Oreochromis niloticus: one gene and its partners. The protein of the gene in region 1 purifies or fractionates together with the protein of each later gene. This does not show direct contact. Links are inferred from orthologs where the notes say so. Each region holds a gene or a part of one and is shown in the gene's direction. Other genes may lie near its edges.

The links. The genes of interacting proteins can lie anywhere in the genome.
Region 2: the proteins of ppme1 (region 1) and ppp2r2aa purify together in Homo sapiens (affinity purification with mass spectrometry; 3 studies listed by BioGRID and IntAct, with this or other methods). This does not show direct contact. The link is inferred for Oreochromis niloticus from reciprocal best matches to the Homo sapiens genes PPME1 and PPP2R2A.
Region 3: the proteins of ppme1 (region 1) and serine/threonine-protein phosphatase 4 catalytic subunit B purify together in Homo sapiens (affinity purification with mass spectrometry; 3 studies listed by BioGRID and IntAct, with this or other methods). This does not show direct contact. The link is inferred for Oreochromis niloticus from reciprocal best matches to the Homo sapiens genes PPME1 and PPP4C.

Annotation. Positions count from the first base shown.
Region 1 is NC_031975.2:10,563,376-10,571,390, reverse strand, and holds the start of ppme1 (protein phosphatase methylesterase 1), read left to right. Parts: upstream 1-4,923; 5' UTR 4,924-5,109; coding exon 5,110-5,195; intron 5,196-6,512; coding exon 6,513-6,606; intron 6,607-6,810; coding exon 6,811-6,903; intron 6,904-7,075; coding exon 7,076-7,133; intron 7,134-7,246; coding exon 7,247-7,298; intron 7,299-7,619; coding exon 7,620-7,774; intron 7,775-8,015. UniProt on the Homo sapiens protein: Demethylates proteins that have been reversibly carboxymethylated. Demethylates PPP2CB (in vitro) and PPP2CA. Binding to PPP2CA displaces the manganese ion and inactivates the enzyme.
Region 2 is NC_031977.2:12,396,659-12,405,075, reverse strand, and holds the start of ppp2r2aa (serine/threonine-protein phosphatase 2A 55 kDa regulatory subunit B alpha isoform), read left to right. Parts: upstream 1-4,961; coding exon 4,962-5,052; intron 5,053-6,278; coding exon 6,279-6,376; intron 6,377-6,578; coding exon 6,579-6,744; intron 6,745-6,879; coding exon 6,880-6,992; intron 6,993-7,724; coding exon 7,725-7,902; intron 7,903-8,417. Other genes in the region: uncharacterized protein LOC102080115, read right to left, coding at 1-173, 2,103-2,145. UniProt on the Homo sapiens protein: Substrate-recognition subunit of protein phosphatase 2A (PP2A) that plays a key role in cell cycle by controlling mitosis entry and exit. Involved in chromosome clustering during late mitosis by mediating dephosphorylation of MKI67.
Region 3 is NC_031969.2:3,488,564-3,496,644, forward strand, and holds the start of serine/threonine-protein phosphatase 4 catalytic subunit B, read left to right. Parts: upstream 1-4,625; 5' UTR 4,626-4,752; exon of another isoform or gene 4,753-4,787; intron 4,788-4,868; exon of another isoform or gene 4,869-4,918; intron 4,919-5,433; 5' UTR 5,434-5,604; coding exon 5,605-5,714; intron 5,715-7,129; coding exon 7,130-7,181; intron 7,182-7,269; coding exon 7,270-7,320; intron 7,321-8,081. Other genes in the region: battenin, read left to right, coding at 76-169, 938-1,078, 1,370-1,486. UniProt on the Homo sapiens protein: Protein phosphatase that is involved in many processes such as microtubule organization at centrosomes, maturation of spliceosomal snRNPs, apoptosis, DNA repair, tumor necrosis factor (TNF)-alpha signaling, activation of c-Jun N-terminal kinase MAPK8, regulation of histone acetylation, DNA damage checkpoint signaling, NF-kappa-B activation and cell migration.

The DNA of each region.
Region 1 (8,015 bases):
TGAAATTTCAGCTTTTCTTCCCCAGATACCAGCTCACATTACTCTGCTGACATCACAGGGTGAACTGTATTTTTCTATTGGTTGGTAACTTGCAGCCAATCAGACTGGGAGGCCTGTCTGGATTCATGAGATGTTTGCCCAGGATATTTGTCTGGCTGGGTAATATTTCCACCGCATCATTTCTTACTGTTTGTGCCCAGGCAACAGAATTAGCTCTAGAAGTTTAGAAGCTTTAGGAATCCCCCATCTCTCCATCCCTGCAAGCAATAAAAAGTTATGAAATTATTCAAGTAAGGGGACCGCCATGCTTCGTAGCCAATCCATACCATGGGTCAGGGTGGGTGGGTCCAGAGAGCATCTGAATGCAATCATTTGGGTTGTTTTGTAACAGGCCCACAAGCTGCTTCCAACAGGAGGAGCAGCTGCCAAATGGAAAGTGTCAGGGGGAGGAGGTGCACTCTTTGTAGGTGGGGGTGTCGGCTCTCTGTGAGTGCATGCTTCCTTACATGTGACTTTCCATTGCATTCTGGGTCACAGGTCGCCAAGTTTTTCTCAAGTCAGAAATCACAGCCTCATATTCCGAATATCAAAGGATTCACCTGCTGCAGCATGTGTCAGGAAGTTGTTCTGTCCCCAAAACAACACTACTAAATTTTGTAACCGTAACAGTACTGTGCAAAAGTCTTGAGCCTCCCTTGTTTCTTTATTGTTTGCTTCCAAGGAGCCAGACAAGATAAGATAACTATTTAAGATAAGACCTGGTGCTACTGAGCCAGAGTTCTCCAGGGTGCTTTTTTTGCTTATATTCATTCCAGTCTTTTAACCATTTTTAGAAGAATGTTTTTTGTTCGTTAAGTCACTTAACACTGACCTGATAATGAATTAGAAAACACACCCAGCTAAAGCAATTAACACCTAAGACAACTTAGCAAAGAGCCTGTTTTGAATTGTATCATTAGGATCTTTGGTAAGCGTGTCACAAAAATATCTAATTTCTTCTCATTTATTTTGTTCAATCCACAAAATATGTCAAAGATAACACAGTTTGATATAAAATCGTGTTTTTGCACCTACAAGGTGATTTCCAAAGAGCTATTTGCAAAAAACTTGTCCCAGCATGGTGTGAAGGTTGTCCTTAAATACAGAAACCGGATTAGAAATAGTATGATTTTTTTTTTTTTATGAAAAAACAGGATGATGAACTCGACCCTTCATCATCCACCTGTTCTTCACTAAAACCTCATCAGAAATCGTTTCAGTGGAAGGATGGCTGACAAGAAATCATTCTCAAGGAAGCAAAACAGGTAGAAAAGGCTGAGGTAATCCAAATTACACAAGAACTGGACTGAAAATCTGAATCTGAATTTGGAATTGTTTGGTTCACATCATTGTCAGTATGTGTAGGGAGGAGATCAAGAGGGAAGTACAACAGTGAGTATCTACAGCCATTAGTAAAACTCGGTGGATGCTCTGTCATAGTTTGGGGCTTCATTGCAGCCAGGGGTGTTTGAAATCTTATCAAAATTGCTGCAATTATAAATGCAGAAAAGCCCGGCTGTGTTGAAAAATAAAAGCAGTCATACCAAATACTGACTTTCAACCTTATCAGAATTGTATAAATTCAGTTTTTGACTTATACACTATATTTCCATAGCTCAAGACTTTTGCACATTATTGTGAACATCCTCTTTCCCATAAACTGCTGCTTTATAGCAATATTGCCCTGTACACATAAAACAGTGTCATAATTCATCTTCAGTGTGACGACTTACTCAGAAACTCTGAAGTAGTTTTGGTAAACAGGGTCAAAGTAAAGCCCTACACCTGCATATTTTCCACTCCTCATATTTACAGCTATAAAGGTTCTATATTAAACAAGGCATTCGGTGGAGATTAGTAAAGTGAGAACATATTTACGTTTAGCAAACATATTCAGACTGGGTCCTGTGATGTCAAACGACATTACAGGACATTTGAAAGGTAATAATCCATTTATACTGTACTCCACGAAAAGGTTAAGGAGATGGTGGAGGTGGTTTCACCACCTGCTCTCTAAAAACAGTTTCCTGGGAACACTCTGTGAGAAACATTTAAGCACACAGTCGGGCCAGTAAACAAGTCAGTGGGCTGGCTTCAACCAGTCTGCAGTGACCTCCCCTTAAAAAGACACTGAGCCCCCAGACCCGATCACCCCTGTGCTCTGAATACTGTGAACTTTAAATCAGTGCTGAGAAACACTATAAATAATCCTCCACAACACTATAAATAAGGTCAGCCGCTGCGTCACTTAAAGGTTAGTAGGGCACAGGTTCATGGCTCAGCATGTTTGCTTCATTCACAAAATCAACTCAGACTTGGATTGTCCTGGTTCTGCTTCACTGGATGATTAAATGGGAAAAGAATAAAGGGACACTAAAACAGCTTATTTTTAATATCTGTAGTTACCTCAAGTTTATATGTTTTTCCAACTTCATCAACAGCTTTTATCATTTATGCTGACTTACAGTTTTTCACCGTACACAAAACAGATATTCCACTAAGACAGCAAAAGGCTCCACATAGCAGAGATGACTCAGGGGTTTGCAGACTGTTTGGATTTAGCTTTGGCTTGCATTTTTATTCAAACGTAGTGCTTATTTTGGCTCTCACTGGCTATATGATATCTTCTAATATTAGGTTAGATCAGTGAGCAAAGATCAGATCACACATGTTGTTAAGGAGTTGATGGGTTACAAAACAAACACAGAGATTATAATGTAATATAAGCACTGTTGAGAAGATACGGAAGGAAAAGTGTTCATGTAAAGCACATGATGAAAAATGCTTGAATAGTCTGGAAAATGGCCTAATATTGTATTCCAGAGAGCTTTTTTGAACAATATCACAAATTCAACTTAGTATTTAAAAAGATAACTGGAAAGGTTCTTTATGCAGATACTCCTCAGTGTTGAGACCTTTGCCCTACTTAAAACGTGCGTCAGTGCTGACTGATTAGGATGATAATCAGCTGAGTCCTCCTAAAATTACATGCGACTCATTATGTTTGCTCACCAGCACCTGTTCCCGTCCTCTCGTTCTAATTAACAAGTCTACAACTGTGGAGAACCGGCTGTCATAACATGTTCTTTTTACATAACTGCAATTCATTCGCTCTGATGTCTCTCACTATGTCGCTTGACTTCAGTGTCTGGAAAGTTTCACACTTTAACAACTTAAATTTCCTGTTAACAGTTTTTGTTACTGGAATGTGTGTGTTTACTTTTGCACCTTATATGTGTCAGGCTTTAAAAATTACATGTCAAGTAATGTAACTTGATGCCTTCTCTCACTGGAAACACCCACACCTTTAAAACTGCCTGCGCCCACTGTCATACAGACAGAGCTTTGGAAGACATTGAACTTCTGTTCACAGGCTGAGTAGCACTAAAATTACTATGAGGAAGCGGGACATAGTGGGTCACATTCTTGGACGGGCACTGCTGCCAGTCTGTGTTTGAGAATTGTATAGTAAGCTAAAAAAACATATATACTACTGACCTAAAACACACGCATATATATAAATACAGGAGTGTTGTTGTTTTGGGGGGTTTTTTTCTGAATTCTCGCTTTTTGTTTTACTTACTCTGCCTTCACGCATCTACATTTGGGTCCAGCTCACAACAAGCGCATTGAGGCAACTGTTGTTGCGATTTAGTGCTATATAGATCAAACTGAATTGACCTGAACATTCGACCTACGTAAAGCAGCAGACTGTGACACAACAGAGTTTTTCAAGTGCTGCTTTTAAATACAGAGCTGTATACAAAGTTGTGTTTCGGTGTTTGTGATTTGAGAACATGCTGAAGGTTTGGCTCTTGGAAGACAGAATAGAGGATCATGTATACCATACTTATAGCTGTTGGTTCATTTATGTTCACAGTTCATTTTCCTTTAATGTAACTATAGCAAAGCTGTGAAAAGATTTGATGCTGTCTATGTCTGTGACACCATAGGTGTCTTCATGACTAAAGTTAACCTCTGGTTAGTGTAACAATACAGGCCCAGTGATGTTTATGAAGAGTGAATCATTGCTTGCTACAAAAAATTAATGCAAGTCAATGTTATTTGTAACCAGTTAGAGAATCAGCAGCTGTAACTTTGTTGTTGAATTTGAGAAGGCAGTTAATTACATTACTCCTTTACATTACTGCTCACTAAGTAACTAAAGTGGAATAACAGTTCTACACTGTTTATTTATTATTTAAAATCACATAAAAATAGTCTAAGAGTATTAAGTTAGGGTAGCATAAAACAGCATGTTTAAGTTCTGTTAACATAATCCCATTGTTAATGAAAAACAGCTTTAGTATTACAAAAAATAAATAAATAAATAAGATTACTTGAATTTAGTTGACCAAAAATTTAGCTGACCAAAAATATGGGTGGAATTAAAATATCTATGTTTTTTTTACCCATTACTCCATTTTCTTCCATTTATCCAGTTTGGGATCACAACGGGGGAAGGCTTTTCGTGCTGTCACGGGGCAAGAGGGGGAGATACAACCTGCACAAGTCTGTCACAGGGCAGACAACTACTCAAACCTACAGCTAGTTTAAAATCACTTCTTCTCAAACATGCATAACTTTAGGTTGAGGTACGTTGAGGCCAGGTAATGCAGTCTGCAAAGAGGGCAGATGGACTTAAACCCACATCCTTTTTGCTATAAACTGACAGCGCTAGCCATCACGCTAGTATACTTAACTGGGTTTACACTTGATGTTCATAATAATCAGTCTCAGTCTTTATTGGAAGCAGTCTGACTTTCATTCACGGTACTCCGAACTGCTGAAAGCTATGAAGTGTAAGCCGCTTTTGAATTGCAGTTGAATTTGTAGCCAGTAGATGGCGACGATGCTGTGAAATAATCTGCGTCAATCATCTGAGAAAAAGAGACCGTCATTTCAGCTGCAGAAGAAGAAGGACGCTAGCCGTTAGCTTGCCAGGCAAACGCAGTTTAACCAATGTCTGGCTAACATCGGTGTAGGTGTCGAAGATAATCATATGCTGCGAAAGCGAGAGAAGGTCACATCAAAGAGTTCCTGACAAAGACCGGCGTCACTTTTGACAACATGGAGAAACAGTTGCATTTGAACCTGTTAGCCTCCAGACCTCCCATGGCAGGTGGTTTTCAGTCTGGCTCCAAAATGAAAATGGGGTGAGTTAGCTAGGATCTTAGCAGCTTTTTTTATCGTGACGTTTAGTTGTGTGCACCATCACGCCGGTTGTGTTTTTTTTATTCCCAAAGCCAGGAAGTGTAATCGTATATTTACACTGTCACTGAATTGCACTGCTTAACTGATTGCTTTAGCCCGGCTAGGTTAGCTGCATCTGCTACTAGAGATGAGATAATCAGTGTTGTACACCACTGATTGATTTAGCCTGGCGCTTTTGCGTGTTAGCATTTAAAATTAAAAGGATATCCTTTAAGTCTGAAAAACAGTGTCAGTAGAAAATTAATGTGATTTGTGAGGGCGGAAGCATTCGTGACAAGGCATGAAATCTGTGTCTGAAGTTATTTTAGTTCTCCAAGAGGTTATTGTCAACATTTAAAGATGCTGGGTTTGTGCCACCTCTTGTTTCCATTTGCATAGCGTATCTAGTGAAGGCTAACATCATCATCATCAGTTGTTGTTATTGTTGTTCTTATTTTTCACACAAGTACTGCATGCCAGGACGTGTTTTAAATCAAAGCAAAGCACTCTCCGTGCTTTCTGGAGAAATAAGGCTAAGCCAGCAGAAGAGTGAAGTAAAACAAATAAAAACACAAGTGTTAAAGGGATCATTGTGATCCAATTGCTGCTTTCAGCAGGATAACGCCCCGTGTAAAAAATCGTCTCAAACTGGCTTTTTGAGCATGACAGTGAGTTCACTGTACCCAGATAGCCTCCACAGTCACCAGATCTCATTTCAATAGAGCACCTTTGGGATGGGGTGGAACAGGGAGATTCACATTATTGATGTGCAGCAGCTGTGATGCTATCATGTCATCTTGGAGCAAAATCTGAGGAATGTTTCAAGCACCTTGTTGAATCTATGCCTTGAACAATTAAGGAAGCTGTGAAGTAAAGCGGGGTCCAGCTCAGTACTGGCGAGGTGTATCTTATAAAATGGCTTGAATATAAATGAACTGTTAACTCTGTAATACTTTAATCAGCAACAAATTACAATGAATTCGTAAAATAAATGCTCTGACACACCTTTCCTTTACCTTTGCCAGATGAACATGATGATTATGCTTAAATTCTATTTTGTTTTTTGTTATTTTTTTTATTAATTTTTTTTTCTTTTTGTTTATTTTTCTATTTTTTATTATTGCAATGTTTGATGATGTGAAAAGAAGGGGAGAGTTATTTTTAGTCTGGAGTATTTTTGTCTTTCAATTGCTTCCACAAAGTTTAACAGTCCTGTTGCAGTGTTGAATCACATCAGATATGGATTCGGTTACTTATTTACTTTTGTTCTTTTATTACAGACCTGGGCGTAAGAGAGATTTCTCCCCTCTGCCCTGGAGTCAGTATTTTGAAACCATGGAAGACGTGGTGGTGGAAAATGAAAACGGCAAAGATATATCCTTGACTGCTGTTCCAGTTTGTAAGAGGAAATTGAGCATGAATGACACACACTTTGGGTCCAAGTCTTCAGATTTAACTCCTCATATCATTGTGCTACATGACTAGAATATATGCAGAAGATTAATGTGCATTATTGTTGGACAAGCATCTGCTTACTTCATTATTCTTTCAATTAGTATTTCTTTGACCGCTGTGAACATTTTCAGAATTTACTGCAGTGGTTCCCATGGTCCTGTGCTGCTCCTGCTTCACGGAGGAGGCCACTCTGCACTATCCTGGGCGGTGTTCACTGTGAGCTTCATAACTATTACAGACGCTTTATGATCTGTTAGCAGTCTACATTAAAGTTAACAGCAATGTTGTGAAGAACATTTATAAAGTTTTGTTTTTTGTTTTTTTTTTAATGTCAACATATCATCTGTGATCTATTTAATTGAAATGATTTCGATCTATGTTCTTGCAGGCCATCACATACAGCAGGATTAACTGCAGGGTGGTAGCTATGGACCTCCGAGCTCATGGTAGGTTGCAGGACACAGCAAGTTTTTATCTTTGCACGTGGTTTGAGGATTATTGCATTCTTTGCCTCGGTTTATATGGAACAAATGAGTTAAATCTCTGTCATCGCCTGCAGGTGACACTAAAGTGAAAAATCCTGAGGATCTCTCTGCGGACACGATGGCGAAGTAAGTCTTTAAGAGAACACAGTTTTTGTGGGAATGATTTTTAAACATCTGCTTCTTGGGTTTACATCACAGGAACATATGGGACGCCACAGAAGGTGGTGATGATCCAGCAGGCATGAGTTTAATTAAGAAAATTTTGGTTTCACCGCTCATTAAACGTGGGAAGAGTGTGGTGACTTCCTGTGGCTAACATTTGGATTATTGATTGCGGTGTAAAATGTAAAATGTAGTTACTAGCTTCCTGATTAGAGTTTCAATCATAACCGAAAAACAGGCTGACAGGTTATATTCTTGCTGCTTCTTTTTTTTTCTTCCCCAAAGGGATATTGGCAAAGTGGTGGAGGCACTTTATGGAGACAACCCACCTCCAATCATGCTTATTGGACACAGCATGGGAGGGGCCATTGCAGTTCACACTGCCACTGCCAATCATATACCATCCCTGCTTGGTCTCTGCGTCATTGATGTTGTAGAGGGTAAGCTCTGCAGATAAGTTCATATTTCCAAAGTCGTTAAACACGAATCCTGCAAGTTGCTCTGGTAACGCCTCAGGTCACTTATTTGGGCAGTTACTTTGAGGCCCTTACCTAAATGACTGAGGAGACTGAAAATGGCTTAAATGATCACCAGGACATAAAAACTCTATTTATAGAATCGCCTGCCCAAAGGCACCAGAGGTTTGGGGACTTTGTCCAAAATCAGGTTTCCAAAGTTCTT
Region 2 (8,417 bases), on another chromosome or scaffold:
TTTTTCCGTTTTGTTTTTGTTCTCATTCATAGGTTTCCTGGTGATCACTGTGAGAATGCAGTTTGTATGATTTCCATAAGCCATTTGACAGTTTGCCTTTGTTTCAGTGTTGTTGAAGGGGACGTGAACCCAACCTCCTGTGCAGTTCTTTCTATCTGACATCAACTCACAACCTGAAGACAAATATTCAAATTATGTTGGTCATTTAACAAAACAAATAAGCAAATTAATTTATCAATTAGGTGCACAGTTCTTCATGCAACAGTCTTGAGATACTTTATTAGCAGAGCATGCTGTAAACATTGCTGTTTTTATTTTTACTATATAGGCATGATGCTGTGACCAGTTAGTATTTTTGTTATGATTCAAAGTGTCACTACTGCAAAAGCGAACTTCTGCTTCAATATATAATGTTACAATTAATTAATATACCATTAAATCATGTTTATTATTATTATTATTGTTGTTGTTGTTGTTGTTTTTCACAGTTGCTAACAAAATATGCAGTACATGTGAAAAAACTGCTTCCAGATTTCTAAGGTTTTGTTTTGTTTGTTTGTTTTTGCATGGATTGGTTTAGTCATGTTTTCATTTCTCCTTCCTCTTGTCTCACCAAGTCCACAGTTCATGGACTTAAACTACAGTGCTTACTTAAAAAGCTTTATTAGACCACCACCCATTGGTGGTGGTGGTTTTATAACACGGCTACCCTAAACTTACAGCATTGGTAATTACCAAAGTAATGTTTTATGCTTCTGGTTAATCTGTGAGCTCTGTAATCAAAATCATATTTTTAATGTTAAAATATAATTTTTCTTGTTATACGTGAGTTTATAAATTTTATGTTTTACTATAAAGCAACAACAAAAAAGTAAATCACATCCAAAATTAGCCAATAAAAACCAATTTCAGTAGTAATTGTCATGCTTGTGCCAGCTCAAATTTCAGTATAAAAACTTGAATTCAGTTTGTTAGCTAATAAATAACAACAAGTTTTTAACAGATTTCTAAAATGTTTGTGTTTTCTTGTTTTTAGTGGCAGGTGCCCTGCATACGGGCAGAAGTAAGTCCCACTGTTGTAGGTGTGTAAAATCAAGCACGTAGGCATGCAGACTACAAAGGTTTGTAAAAGAATGGGTCTCTGTATTCAAATAAGGCACTGTAATAGGATGCTACTGTAAATTTATGAAGTTTCATAGTTAATGAAACTTTTTCCTTCTTAGATATTCACAACAACTGTAAATGGTATGATTGCTCATACAGTTTTAAAGCAGAGTCACTGTTTGCTGAGCCACTAAGTCAATGAAAGTTTCCAACACTGTATTAACTCAATAAATGAGGAGTTCCAGACCTCTTCTAGCATTAACATCTGCACAAAAACTGTGCACTGAGAGCTTCATGGCATGGGTTTGGCAGAGCAGCTCCTGTGGGTGTAATATGAGGGTGGCCTAATATTTTTATCCATATAGCTTAGGTCTCATAAGCTGTCAGTCCTTATCTCTTCTGACTGGCATTATTAATCCCTGTGTCACTGTAAAAAATGAGTTTTTAGAGAGTGAGGGCCTTTTTAGACCTGTTTCACGGTCATTGATGTCATGGTGGAAAATACGACATGGCATTTGATTTAATCCTACCATAAACACATTAGTGAAACTTTAAAGTAATGTGAATAATCATGATCATCTGTCATAATGTAATGTTCTTTAAAACAGAAAGAAAAGTCATGGGTAACATTGTAGTAACATTCAATATTAGAAGAGTGAAAATGGCTCTTGGCTTTTAAAATCTGTGAGAATTCGGTAACAGCAAAGATGGGGCAGAGGTACAATTTTAAGAAAAAAAATAGACTTTTATTGATATACAGTGTCGTAAAAGCCTAAGCAGCAAACGGTGTGGAAATTAGCTGCGGCCAGAAGTCCTATATGATTGCATCTGTTGCATTTAGCTTAAATGCGACAATGTTAATATGTACAGTCCCTGTTGTGTAAATATATGAAGTACAAAATACATAGTGTAATACCTATTTTAATCATATTTAACATTATTTACAGTATAATGATTTGTGAATAATATCAATTAGGAGTTGGTCATAGTCTTTTTACCTGTCATCGTTGAGAAGATGAGTAGTAGCAGTGATGTCATCATGTTGGTTTAGTCGCTTCTTTAAGATCTTTAAGTGGAAATTATAAACCTGCAGTTAGTTTGCTTTTGTTAGCCTGTCCTGCCTATCTGTGGGTCTCTGGTGATTCTTGATTTTTTTTGTCCATCCCATCTTATGTTACTGAAAAATGAACTTGCCCCGCATTTCTGACCACAAATCCCCTCCCCATTTCTTTAAGGTTAGTTTCTTTATCATACTTACATCACCTTTTGCAGTAGAGAGGAAGCAAGCGGTTTATGTGAGTGTCAGAATGAAAATAACACTGAATAGGAAGTCAGAGTCTAACAGATATATTTATTTGATAATATAATAGAAAAATACTTATAAAGAGAAGAGTCTCTTTAATCTGCACAGTTCCTTAATTGCAAATTGAAACTGGACTGCTCAGCGCAAAAATGTTGAAATCCAAGAAAATGATCTGAATTCTTCTATGCTTTTTTGTACATTTGATGCATTTTGGATAGAGATGGTTATATATATTTAAAAAGTTTGCTTTGGCCCACTGACTGTTGAGTGGAGATTCTTCTCTGTTGGTCTGGGTGGTTGAGTGACAGTTGGTTTGGTTGGACAGTCATCTGACCGCTTTTTAACTGAAGAAATACGTTCCTAACATGGTTGCTGGGGAAGTATAAATCAGTATGCCTTATTATACTATACAGTGTATACAGAAAAATTTCCACACTGGCTTCTTTGATGTGCTTTGCTGCAGTGTCAGCTCCTGTGTTGTTTGAACATGAAAATTCTGGCAAAAGGGAGCGAGCAAACAAGCATATTAGCATTCAGTAGCATTTGTGTGATTGGTAGTTTGGTTTTATTTGATCTTATTTAATAGACATTTACCAGATATGACGGAGATTTAACAAATGTGACCAGGAAATCTGAAAAACATTTATATTCACATGCATCATGCACTATATCTGTGACACTTTAGATATCAGTAAGACTGAAGAATGATACTTTGGTACAATAGTATCAGACAATATTTGACACTGAGTGGGTATGTATTCTTACTGCATTTATTCCTTTTAGATTACTCAAATGTACTAAGGTGTCACTGTGGCTTAAGGTTCATGATTTCGACCATGAGCTAAAACCTAAATCTTTGCCTTAGATCTATATACATTCAAAATAGTGTTGAGAGAATCTCATACAGGTTGCAGCAGGCCTCTTTTTAGGAAGTATTCTTTGATGTGTCATTCAAAAAAAAGAAAAGAAAAAAAAAGAGCACAGGTATAACTGGTAATTTAGATGGCTGCCATCCATCTAGGTGAACTGGTTTGAATAAAAGGCAGTAAACACGCTGAATCACCTTCATTGCATAGCCAGTTGATAGAGCTGAGTCATTGTCAATGAAAATCTGTTTTAACTTTGTTTTTCTGGCTATGACAAGTCACTTTTTTCTGGTATAAACACTCTCAACTGTTCATGTGCCAAAGAGTTACCAGGAAACGAAGGGAGGCATTGATAACATCATACACCTGAGCTTTTCCTTCGCTAATAACTGTAAAACTAACTTCCTCACAGGGCCCTAGTAGGTGAGATTAATTTTACTTGGAAGAAACGTTTTTTCTAGTTACGCTTACATTGACGCATAAGGCTCTGAGGCTGAACTCTCAGAGACATCCTGCTGAACAAAGATGTCAGATGCATCTACTGCAATTATTACTCAGTTTATTTCCCATTCAGTTGTAGTTTAACTCAGTGGAATCAGTGGGTCATGCAATGACTACATTTAATAGGCAGTAAACAAGATAGTAACTCATAAAATCCACCCAATGTGAAATAACTTTTGTGGACATTAAAACAAATTAAAAACCCCTCTAAAATTTATTAAGAAATCTGAATTTCTGTTTTAAACTTGGAGCTTTCGGACTCCACTTTCTAAATTCAGCATGCGTCCGGGGTTAGTTCGATTTTCTTCACTGAAACAATGCACATGGGCGGGGTCTAGCAGTTATACGGGGTTTTATATTTTAAAAACCTGCTTATTACCCTTTTTATGAATTTAAAGCGCAGTAAATCAAGTGACCTCGCGGTCTCCGCAGACAGGAAGATGACCAACGTCTCTGAGGGGTAGGTTTAAAATTTCGCGGCGCACCCTCTCACCGCTCCCTGTTGACTGCTGAACGCCGCCCGCGTTTCGCCATTTTGAAAGTGCTGTAAAGAGGCAGAGGCGAGGGAACTCTCAAAGTAGAGTGCAAAGTCTACAAGCCAATAGTAGGCATTATTAATTACTTTGTGTAAAACAGTTCCGTGGTGCATAGCAGGGCCGAGGACTTTTGCTTACGTTCTTCAGAGTACCAAGCAGCACTCCCGGCTTCATTCCTGCACTGCTCCTCGCTAGAACCTCCCAGCCGACCCGGGTCAGCACTGTTCCAGTCCAGGGCCCGAGCCCGCTTAGATACCCCTCTACGAGTCGCTCACCATGGCAGGTAAAATCACAGGGGAAAAGACTACCACAGTGGCTGGGGTTATTAATTAACAGGTGCTGACCTGTTTGACAACGATGATGGGTTTCTCTGTTATGTCATGTTTAACCAGCGCAAGCTAGCTAGCGAGCTAGGATAATTCAAAGATGCCAGTGTAAGTCAGTGTTAGTGTTAAAGTGAGCGGTATTCTCCACAAACACACGTAAAGTAGTTATCTGTGCCTATGAGTTTATAGCAGCAGTTGCAACGCACAGTTACTGTGAATTTCCTTAAGGCCTCGTTGTCATATTGATGTTTTTAGCTAAGTTAGCTGCAGGCTAACGCGTGTAAAGTTGTCCCTCTTTAATGGTGGTGTGTCCAATCTTGGGGTCATGTTGTGTGCAGGGCCTGGTGGTGGGAGCAATGATGTGCAGTGGTGCTTCTCCCAAGTCAAAGGAGCAATAGATGACGACGTCGCTGAAGGTAAGTCCATGTGATAGTCACTGAACATTTGCTAGCCTGAGCTGCCAGGATCACCATCCTGTGCACGCTTGTTTTAGGCTTTTCTTCAAAGTGCTGCTGCCACACTTTATATTTGTGGTATTTCTAAATATGCAATGAAAAGTAATGCCTTCTTTTTTAGAGTAATAATGGGTATAAGGGATCAGTGGTGTGGTATTGTAGTCCATTTGGTTTCTCACAGACTGACAACAGTCTTCTATTTTTGGCATAATTGTGCTAAATGGCATTCACTATTTTCTCCGTTCACCCTGGGTATTAGAGGGGTATTACACAATGTTTACATGATTGGGAGAGAACTGCATGTTAGAATTGAAAAAGATTTTACCTCAGCCAGACAAGAATCTTTAATAGGCGTTTCATATTTGTTAACGAAGCAGCACTTACATTTGACTAATTACAGATCTGTTTGAGTGGCCAAGTTAAAAGAAAACCTTTATCAGCTAATTATTTCCGAACTAAAGGAAAACTCAAAGCACCAAAAGTGTGTTTACAGTACATGGTGGCCATATTTATGTATAAAGGGCTACCCATTTGTTTACAGTAAGCTTTGTCTGGGAACATGTATAAATGAGAGCCTCTCCTTGTGTCAATACATAGGAGTACATGGGCTCAAAACACAACACTCCAGTAACGCTTTTATTAGTTTCCTGTAAAAAAGGATTCGCCTTCAGTCTGTCTGCTATTGTTTTATGGGGTTGCATGGAGTCGGGTCGTATCAGGCGCACACTGTCGATGTTAACGACTGCACTATAGTAGTGCCAGTGTGTAAGTGGGGATTGATTGTTGTATTGTAGGACTTGGTGAGAATGGTTGTCTTTGAAAAGTGCTAAATCTGAAGCTGAGGATGGAAACTTTTTTTCTGTTCTTTTTTCCTTTGTGTCCTAAGATTGTTGAGTGTACGTTTAGTTTCACCAGATCACAGCTCCGTCGAGTGTGTGTGTATAAATATGTGTGCGTCATTGCTGTGTTGTGTTTTCACCATGGTTGACATGATTTTCACCCCTCACAGGTGGGCTGCTGAGGCATTTTGTAAACCACTTCCCATTGAAAGGCAGTGAATCATTTAGAGAGCAATTCGATTTACAATAATTAGATTGACAATAGCCTTCATCAGAAACTCTGACAAACAATGTATGGTTATTTATATTTGATGCTAGTCTCATTTTTGCAATTTTTATTATTGACAGCTGATATCATATCCACTGTTGAATTTAACCAATCTGGAGAGTTACTTGCAACTGGGGACAAGGGAGGTCGTGTTGTCATCTTTCAGCAGGAGCAAGAGGTATGTTTTAGTGACACATAGAAACAGTACATATTTTTAACATTTGATTCATAATACTCTGGAGCAGGTAGGTCATCAAACTCAGTTTATATAACACAAAGACGTACAGGTAAAAGTACAATGTTTCTTGTGATCTTGACCCGAGACATTGAATCTTGGTTTCATAACGCTTGAACTTTTGTTTGATCTGTTTTGTATTTAGAGTAAGAATAAGCTTCAGTGCCGCGGAGAGTACAATGTTTACAGCACCTTCCAGAGCCACGAGCCTGAGTTTGACTACCTGAAAAGTCTTGAGATTGAGGAGAAGATCAACAAGATTCGATGGTTGCCTCAGAAGAATGCAGCACATTTTCTTTTGTCAACAAATGGTTTGTAAATTACTTTCTTTTGAGTAAATTATTGTGCTGTAGTAAATGTGAACTTTTGTTACGCCATCTACTGCCTTATATGGGAGTAAATATAACTCAATGACTCTCATGGTCTTTGCTCTTTCTCATTGGCAGACAAAACCATAAAGCTGTGGAAAATTAGTGAGCGTGACAAAAGACCAGAGGGCTACAATTTGAAGGAAGAAGATGGGCGATACAGAGATCCCAACACTGTCACTACACTACGGGTGTGTAGAACTGGCTTTATTACAGTCCAGATCTTTTCTTTGGTTTGACATTGTTAGCCAAAACTGAGATGCTTTGCTTACTTTCCATTCATTTATGAGTAGATCAAGAAAATGAACAGCAAATTTAATATGTTGAGTCTGGTTAGTAATTTACATCTGAATTAGTTGGAATAAATGTTAATCGTTTCTTTCCCGTGTTTCCTTCCACTCATTACAAAACTGTTTGTTCTATTTTTGATTGAGACGTTGACTTATCTTATGAGCAAGTAAACAGATGGAACTAATAAAATTACCAATCTGTTCCTGCAATTACTGCAGTGCTGCAGTTGATGTAATGTCTGCTTTATTCACCTTTAATTTTGACAGACCCCCCCCCCCCCCCTTTTTTTTTCTTCTTGTGGTTGCTGAACAGTTTCCAAATATAGACTCTGTTCAACAGGTTTGCGTTTATACTGAGGCAATGCCTTTATTTCTTTGTTTAAAGGGCAAGTAACTGTCCCCATCTTAAAAATGGGTAAATCTATGTACATTTTGACCTACATCTTTGTGCCTCTTTACCAGGGTAAGAAAAATAATTTGGACACTTTTTAATCTTTTTTTTTTCTTTTTGTAGTGTGAAATTCCTTTTTTTTTTTAAAACATGCCTGTGTACATATATTTAAAATCAAGGTCAAAAAATCTACTGCATCTCCCATTAAAGAAATGTAAAAACAGCCCCACTTTTGCTTTCAGGTACCAGTATTCAGGCCCATGGACTTGATGGTGGAAGCCAGCCCTAGACGAGTGTTTGCCAACGCGCACACATACCACATCAACTCCATCTCGGTCAACAGCGATTGTGAGACCTACTTGTCTGCTGATGACCTGCGCGTTAACCTCTGGCATCTGGAGATCACTGATCGCAGCTTTAGTATCCTTTCATTCTTTAATTCCATAAAGTACTGCAATAATATAAAATTATTCTGTCAGTGTTTTGTCTTATTTATTCCCAGTTTATCCTTTTTCAAAGGAGCGTAAGCCAGGGAGAGTACTTTAAAAAAAAAAAAAAATGTATGTGAATGTTATGTGAAATAATGAATGATATATTGTGGTTAGTTTTAAGCCTTTCTTTGAAGAGATGCCTGACTTATTAATCCTGTTCACCTGCTCACCCCGTATCAGTCAAATTAGACAAAGACTATGTATTACTTAGCAACAAATAAAACATGATTCATGTATTTTTGTAGGCCATATAAACAATTCTTTGCCTGATATTTAAAAATGTACACACTGTGTCTACAGGCAGACTGGACAAGGGTAAAAAATTATCTTCACTGGTGTCTATTTAATCTGTAGCACAGTGTCATTATTTATACTACCACCAGATGTCCCCAAAGCGTGGGATGTTTAACTGGGTGCCTTGAACGTAGTCTAAAATAATCACCT
Region 3 (8,081 bases), on another chromosome or scaffold:
AATATTCAGTATGAATGACTTCATGCAGATTGTTTGGGGTGTGCAGCTCTACTTGTTTCTTGTTTGCATCCTCAGGTATCAGACTCTGTACCAGCTTGGTGTACTGCTCTCTCGATCCTCTCTGCGCTGGCTGAAGATCAGGAAAGTGTGGATTCTCAGTGTTCTGCAGGTGAGAAATGAGAATAAAATACAAATCAGCACCAGAGGGATGTCTGGGTTAAGCTCAGCTCCCTTTTTTGGACAAGGTAGAGGAGCTTAACCTGCAACTTTCTTCTGACTGGCTGCTCATTACACACAATAGATTTGAACATCGGTATTTGTGGCTGCTGTGCTCAAAGTGTGTACACAAATCTGTGTGTATGTAGTGCATATAGAATGTTGTGTACAAATCCATAATCAGTCATGAGGGAGTAGACGAAGCTGCATTAGTGCAGTGGTAGGAGCAGCCAATAACAAAACGGTGTAGCAGCTGTCCTCAAAAAAATCAACAGCACACACAATGATCCTCATCTAGTAATATTTACAAGGAAACGTTCGTACTATTTACACAGTGACCCAGCCCCATTTCCAGGTGAAACAGAGAAAGTGCTGATGATGTTGTATAAGAGAGAAGCCTGCACCTCTAAAGGAAGAAATAAGGAGAAAATCTGACTGTAGAAAAAGAAAGAAGCCAGGAGAGGTGCGGCTTTGCAGAGTGTTTCAACAACTGTTTAGGAAAAAGTGACACCCAGGCTGAAATAATAGGAGAGCTCAATAAATGATTTTTTTTTCCATTACATCATCAAACATTACATAGTTTATGGTTTGTTTTCAGGTGATTGAATAATTTTTGTTGCTTTGTGATGCAGATAACTACAGCACATGCATATGGGGTTGTTAAATGTATACTTTACAAACACTGCTGTTTCTCAGAGCTGCTTCTCTCTCCTCTCCTCAGATGCTGAACGCTGTGTTTCTTCTGTTAGCTGTACGTTACCTGTTCCTGCCCACTGTTTGGTTGGTGTTCACTTTTATCCTCTATGAGGGTCTGCTGGGTGGAGCAGCATATGTCAACACCTTCCATTTCATCAGCAAGGAGGTAAAGGACAGCTTCAGAGGCCCATTCATATAGTTTAGAATCTAGAGTATTCTAGACAGTCTCGATTTTTAGGAACCTGGACAATTGCATATTTTCTGTTCTTCGACCTCTGTGCACAGCTGCATTTCATTTTCAATCTATTCACGGATGCATACACACTCGGCAAATGTCAGCTTGATTATTTTAGGAGATTCAGGAGGTCATTACAGAAGCAGCTGTGCACTGTTGAGCTGTTTTCATCCTACAGTAAGTATGCATCCATCTCAGAGTGTCTTCTCTTTTCTCCTACAGACTGAAGACAGACACAGGGAGTTCTCCATGGCTGCTGCCAGCGTTGGAGACAGCCTGGGCATAACTGTGGCTGGACTCATATCTCTTCCTGTCCACACTTACTTCTGTTCATTATAACCAAGCCCACACACTGACCAGCACGATGAGTAAGCAAAACGTGGGTGCGTTCGATTTTTAAATCGGAACTGGGTTGGAGACAAAAAGCAGACATTACATAAAAATGTCAATATGAAGTCATTGACTCCACATCCTGTACTTGCTGCATTTATAGATACCAGCAAGTGAACTTTATAGAAAGCCCAGAGTCCAAAAAAGGATTTTTTTTACCTTCAGCCAGAGATCAAATAATATCAATAACATCCTACCTACGATCACAGAAGGTAAACCTGAAACACAGATCAACAAAACCGATAGGACAGAAAATATTCATGTGTTGTTTTGATGACCAGTTTCTTTGTGGCTTTCCTTCATGAAAAACCTTCCAGTGGTTCACAGAACAAAAGCTTTCAATGTGAAACAAGATCGGGATATATTTCAATTTGACATAATGAATAAAAGAAATATAAATGCAACACATTTTAAAGTCACAGAACAGGAGATGTAATCAGAGTAATTTTACTTTGTTTTAATTGTTGTAACTAAAGAGTCATCTTAAAGTATTAAGTATCTCTGAGCTGCGACCAGGCAGCCAGTATTGTGTAGGAAATCACTGCACACCAACCTTCAACACTAACATTTACCTTAAAATCTAAACTGTTATTTTACTGACCTTCATTTTAAAATTAATTCCTCAAACTGAGCTCTGGGCTCAGAAACAGTGCTATGAATGACTACTCAGCTAGGATGTGCCATTACTATTTTCAAACTATTTTAAAAGTCAGGGAGCTCAGTCACTGAATGCTGCAATTATATTTTTGGGAGGTGAAATTATAAAACTATTGATTTCAGGGGGCAAGGATAGCTCAGTAGGTAGAGTTGTCGCCCCATGATCGCAAGGTCGGGGGTTTGAATCCACTGACCAGCTACCCTGAGCAAGGTACTGCTCTCCGGGCACTAGATTGGTGGCTGCCCACTGCTTCACTGAGTGAATGGGTTACATGAGAGGAATTTCCCCACGGTGATCAATAAGGTATACATTATTATTATTATTATTTGAAGAACCTGTGAGTAAATATAATGCTGAAGCCTGAGGGCTCTCAGTAAGTGTCTTCTATAATTATTAGTTCTATAGTTAAGTTTCATTCATGTTAATACATAAATAGCAGAGATTACTTTCCTATTTCAGTTGTAGTCAAACGTTTGCAAACACTCATCATGGAAATGAATCTGAAATTTGGGATTTTCATTATTTTTTTGACATAGGTGACTTCAATCTTACTGAAAAATTGTGGACTATGCTTAAAATCCAGGTTGGTACCAGGAAACCAAGAGAAGAATAATGGTCAAATATAACGTCAGAATTATGCCTGATTGAGGTGCAAATTTTTCCAAAATAAATTCAACCATGTGCACCCAATTCTCATTTTTAAAGTCTTTTTTTGCAGATGCATGCTGTAAAATCATTCCTCTCTGGGAAGAGAACAATTCAAAGAAATGATTAAAAGTCCAAAATTACCATCACATTCATGTCCATAATGAGTATATGTAACAAAATGAGCAAAAATGCCTTCTTTTATAGGTTTTAATACCAGGAGAGCATTCAGAGCTTTAAAATGCCACTTGTTTCAGATTTGTACAAAAACAATGTCACACACAGATTTGTTTTTGTGATGTTTATCATGTGCAGCTTGACATCATTTTGCTTAGCTGTGACTTTTTTGATTCTAACGAAAGACTGCTTGTTAAACTGTGGCACAGTTCGTCACTGCAGGTGGAGCACAGAACACCTGGGAATGGCTGAGATGTGAAACAAAGTTGATTTTAATATTTTTGTTGTAAAATAAAGAAAATAGAGGTTGCTCATGCCGTCATGCTGACATGTATTTTGCTAAAATTCTTGGAAGCACTTTTGTTATTTTTCTTGTAACATTGTGGACTGTTGAATTTGTTTTCTTTTCTTGGAATGCAATTTATGTCCTTAAATACTTGATTCATGTGTCCTGTTTTCTTCTGAACACTCAAACGCAGACCGACAGGCACAGTCCTACTGACATTCTAATGACCACATAAAGCTAATGCTAAAGCTTAACTGGAAGAACCTTGTTACAACGTAATATTGTTTTTTAATCTTCAGCTTGCTTCAAATCAAATTTTACAGGAAATCAGAAATGAGGTTCACTGACTTTGCTAGACTGCCAGTTAGCTATAAACATGTGGTTGTCCTTTCTTGCACAGAGAGCAATGACATTTCTAATTGTACTTATTTTTTCTTTGATATAAAGTGTATGTGTAAGAAACTGGAATGTGTTGTGCTTTATTACTTCTAGTGATATAAGATAACATAGGTTGGTGTTTAACTGGGGTGGTTCCTAAACCATTTATTGACCTAATATTTCATTCAAAATCATTTGGGGGAAAAAGTAAGGTTGCTATAGTCAGCAATCTGCAGTATTTTCTCTGCTGTCCACTTTTTGTGCCTAATATATCAGATAAATGGTTGTAGAGTGGAGAATTTATACGGCAGTATCCCAAAGCTATAGGTGACGTTTCTAAGCCAAAATGAATTAAAATGTATAATGTAGGTTACTGTTGCATAACACACGTTTCATGTTAAACTTCTACTTGAACTACATTACATTTCATAGTGGAGCACAGACCATCACACAAAAACTTTAATTCTTTATAATTAAATTAAAAGGGTATATGATACCTTCATTACAAGTCAAATATTTCAGTATTTCAATATTTGTTTGCTTTCAATGATAATGGTTTATAGGTGAGGGTAATCAGAAATCCTGTATTAAAATATTAGAATATTTCTTTTCCAGGGGATCGGACAGCCAAGGCCTGCTTTTGGCCTGCTTTTGACCTCTGCTCAGTCCACACTGCACCAGACCCACATGAACCTGCTTGCTTATTGTGGGGCCATAGGATGGCTCGAAATTAAATACTGTATTTCTGACTTTATATCGTGTCCTTAAACTTGACCAAAATTCTAAGAAAGGGTTTTGAAATACTTTACATACAATGAATTTAGAGTTTATTTTAAAAAATAATCACTTAAAAACAGAAAACAAAAGTAAACTTTTTCATGATATTCTGTATTTGGGATGGACTAGTAAGCGATCTGTAAATTACCACTACAGTGAATGTCGGCTTGAGTAGACTGGGTAGTGCGCTTCCTATACCGGAAGTTACAGCCGACCTGCAAGTGTTCATGAGCACGGCAGGCGTAAACCGGCAAAGACGAGACCGGGGGAAGAAGAGGGGCCAGTGAACAGCGAGTGAGCCGACTATCTATGGACTGAAACATATTAACGTTGGTTCTTTAACATTTCGTTTGCTTGCTGTTTTTGGTTATTCGAGTTGAGTCGTTTTTAAATTGTGTTGTTCGCATTAGCTAGCTTACTGGCGACATTAGCAGTAACCAGCGTTGACGCCGAAAACCAAGTAAGTTAGCCCAGGTCGGCATCGATTAGCCCGCTAACATGCAACATTTCAACTACGCTTAACTCATTGTTTTTTTCCAGCACATAGATTATGTGTAGTTTGTTGGTATCGACTGTCAGACATTTTTGTGAAGCATCTGTTCAATTTCCCAAACAAAATGGTTGGCTAAGTTATCAAAGAATCAGTTGTTCGCTGACGTCGTTAGCTGTGATGTAAGCTAGCGTGCTAATATTAGCTTACTGCTACGCCCCGAGGCCTTACATTCCCTAACGAATAACATCAGTTTTCTGTGGAAGACTACTTTTATGTTAGATGTGTACAAACTAGTGTTATGACACACTCATAGTGGTGTGTTAAATTGGCGTTTAGTTAGGAATTTCTATGTACGATCGGGTCTTATTTATCACACAGCAGACGTTAACTAAACTGGATTATCCGCCTACCAGGTTGTTATTGCGATGTTTAGCTCGGAATTACTTCGGTTGAATAACCTCATTTATGTTTTCTGTCTGCAGTTCGTCACTCCGAGCATCGTCGTAGCAATACCCTGACGTTTAAGAGCTGAAGCCCCCCGGCTGCTTTCGAGGAAGTTATTGTTTTGGCTGTTCGCTCTCGGAGCCACATATTTAAGCGAGCCCAGTGTGTGAGAAGAGGAGTGTGTGCCTGGTGTGTGAGCAGCTCTCCCTATGTGTGTGACAATGGGGGACATCAGTGATCTGGACCGACAGATAGAGCAGCTCAGACGCTGTGAGCTCATCAAGGAAAATGAAGTCAAAGCACTGTGTGCCAAAGCTAGGTAAGAATCGGTGTGCTTGGACCAACAGTACTTTTATTTCATCAATTATACACTCTTGATTCAAGGCAGAAAACTGTTTAGCTGTTGTCTTATATTTGCATACTTAAAGAACGGGAAGGAAAATCTTCAGGATTGCGAATTAAAACATACTTTCAGAGGGGTGAAATTTAGTGGAGCCTAAATATATTTATATGTAATGTTCAAAAGTAATGGGGCAGCCTCTTTGTCTTGACTATATGTAGACCAATGGCTACTTCGGCAAAGGGGTCACTACATGGGCAAGCACCGCATGTTTGATTTGGCAGAGTTTTACAGATGCCAAAAATTGATTAACTAGACTAGCAAGACCTGCATCAGACTCTGAACAGTTACAGCTAAGAATTTTAAAGAAAATATATTTATCTACTAACAATATATAACAGGAATAGTTTACGAGTTGTTAAAACCTAAATCCTCTGGTGACTGTTAAATGTCTGTGCACTGTGCATATGAACATGCTACTGGGTATGTTGGGTAGGCCTTGATCATGCGGTTTCTATACACAAATGCACAGTAAACAACACAATATTTTTTATTTAAAGTTAATATTTTAATCAATCACCATATAAATGTTACGAATCCCACTGTCAAGTGCTTGCTCATAGAGGCCCATTTGATTGTTTTCTCTGGGGATCTGACAGGATCTTTACTGTATCAAGCACTTTAAGGGCAGTGTTGTTGTTATTTGGTGCTATACAAATATAATAGAATTGAATTTTAGGACTCTAGGTAGTTTATAGGCTAAGTTTAATCAAGATTGAAGATCTTGGAGGAGTCCGGGAAAAAAATAGAAACACATATTTGGGCTACGATCATTATAGGATAAGGCAAGACCAATCACAGGCCCATTGTGAACTAGGAAGAACTGGGATAAGTCTACTGGATGCAAACTGCCATACGGGCTCATTAAATGGAGCCTTATCCTGACTGACCTTTGTTAGCCAATCAGCTGCTCCTGGATATTATTAAATAATCAAGTAACTCAGATAAGGATGATGGAGACACAATTTGATCAATCTGATCTTAATTTGAAAAGATTATTGTGGTTGGTGGAGGAGCTTAGTTGATGGGCCACGCCAGAAGCTGTCACTGGGCTTCAGAGGTGATGGCAAAAAATCGATCTGTTTAGGTTGGATATTTTTCAAGTTGCAGTCAAATTTTGTTTGTGATAATGTGACAGACCTGTTGGTCTGGGTTGTTACATCACCCATCAGCTGTGTTTCTGGAGTCACACTAGGAAACAGTCGATGTGGCCACTAGGGGGTGCTTGTCTGTAACTCAAGGATTGTTTTATTTTATGTTCTGCTGCTATTCTTGTGCTGTATTATTGTGCATTATTTGTTTCTTAATAAATACACATATTTTTATTCCTTTAGAGAGATTTTGGTTGAAGAAAGCAATGTCCAGAGAGTAGATTCTCCTGTTACGGTAAGTAACATCTACTCACTGTTGTCTCCGAATTTGCCTGAATGTCAGTTAAATGTGGTAATAATGTTTCTCCTGTTATTTCTTACAGGTTTGTGGAGATATACATGGTCAGTTCTATGACTTGAAAGAACTTTTTAGAGTAAGTTTTTTTTCTTTTTGTTTGTTTTTAAAATCTCTTTTGGTTGTCATTGGGTTATATTTCAATGTTTAAGTATGATACTGGACAGAGATGTTTTTCTGTTGCTGATTTGCAATCCTGCACAGCACTACTAAACCCAGTTGGTTATTAGAAATAAATGCAGCTTTTTAAATTTGATACTGTTGCCTTGAGTTTGAGTGTGTGACCATACCGAATACTGATTCCATAACTGTATTAAATGAATAATTCGTATTCCTAATTCTGAGGAAAATCTGGGTATCGTTCTTTATGTGTAAGGCAACGAGACGCTCAGCTTTCACACTGCGCTCCTAAATTCATCAATAAATATATTTAAGAATATAAATCTAGTGAAAAGGTATTAGTAAAATGTGTGTGTATGGGGGGGGGTCCATTTTTATTTTTTTAGCTAAAATATGCATGAGTCTCATTTCATACTGCTGTTATTTATGGACATCCTAGTTTCTCCTTTCATGGCTCTTCCTGTGAGTACACCTCCTCACCCACTCACAGTGGAGCTGACGGGAAACTTGGCATCATTTTATGTTGCCATAAATCCTCCAGTAGAGGCTTTAATAAGAATTACAGCAGACGTAATGAAGAGTTAGAGTGGGTGAAAGAGAGAAGCCAACAAGGAAAGCATTATTGGAACTTTTCAGTTCAGATCTGCTGTTGGGGGTTACCTGAAAAACTATTGGAAACGCACAAACACCTGTTGGTGTCAAAGGCATGAAACACCTGCA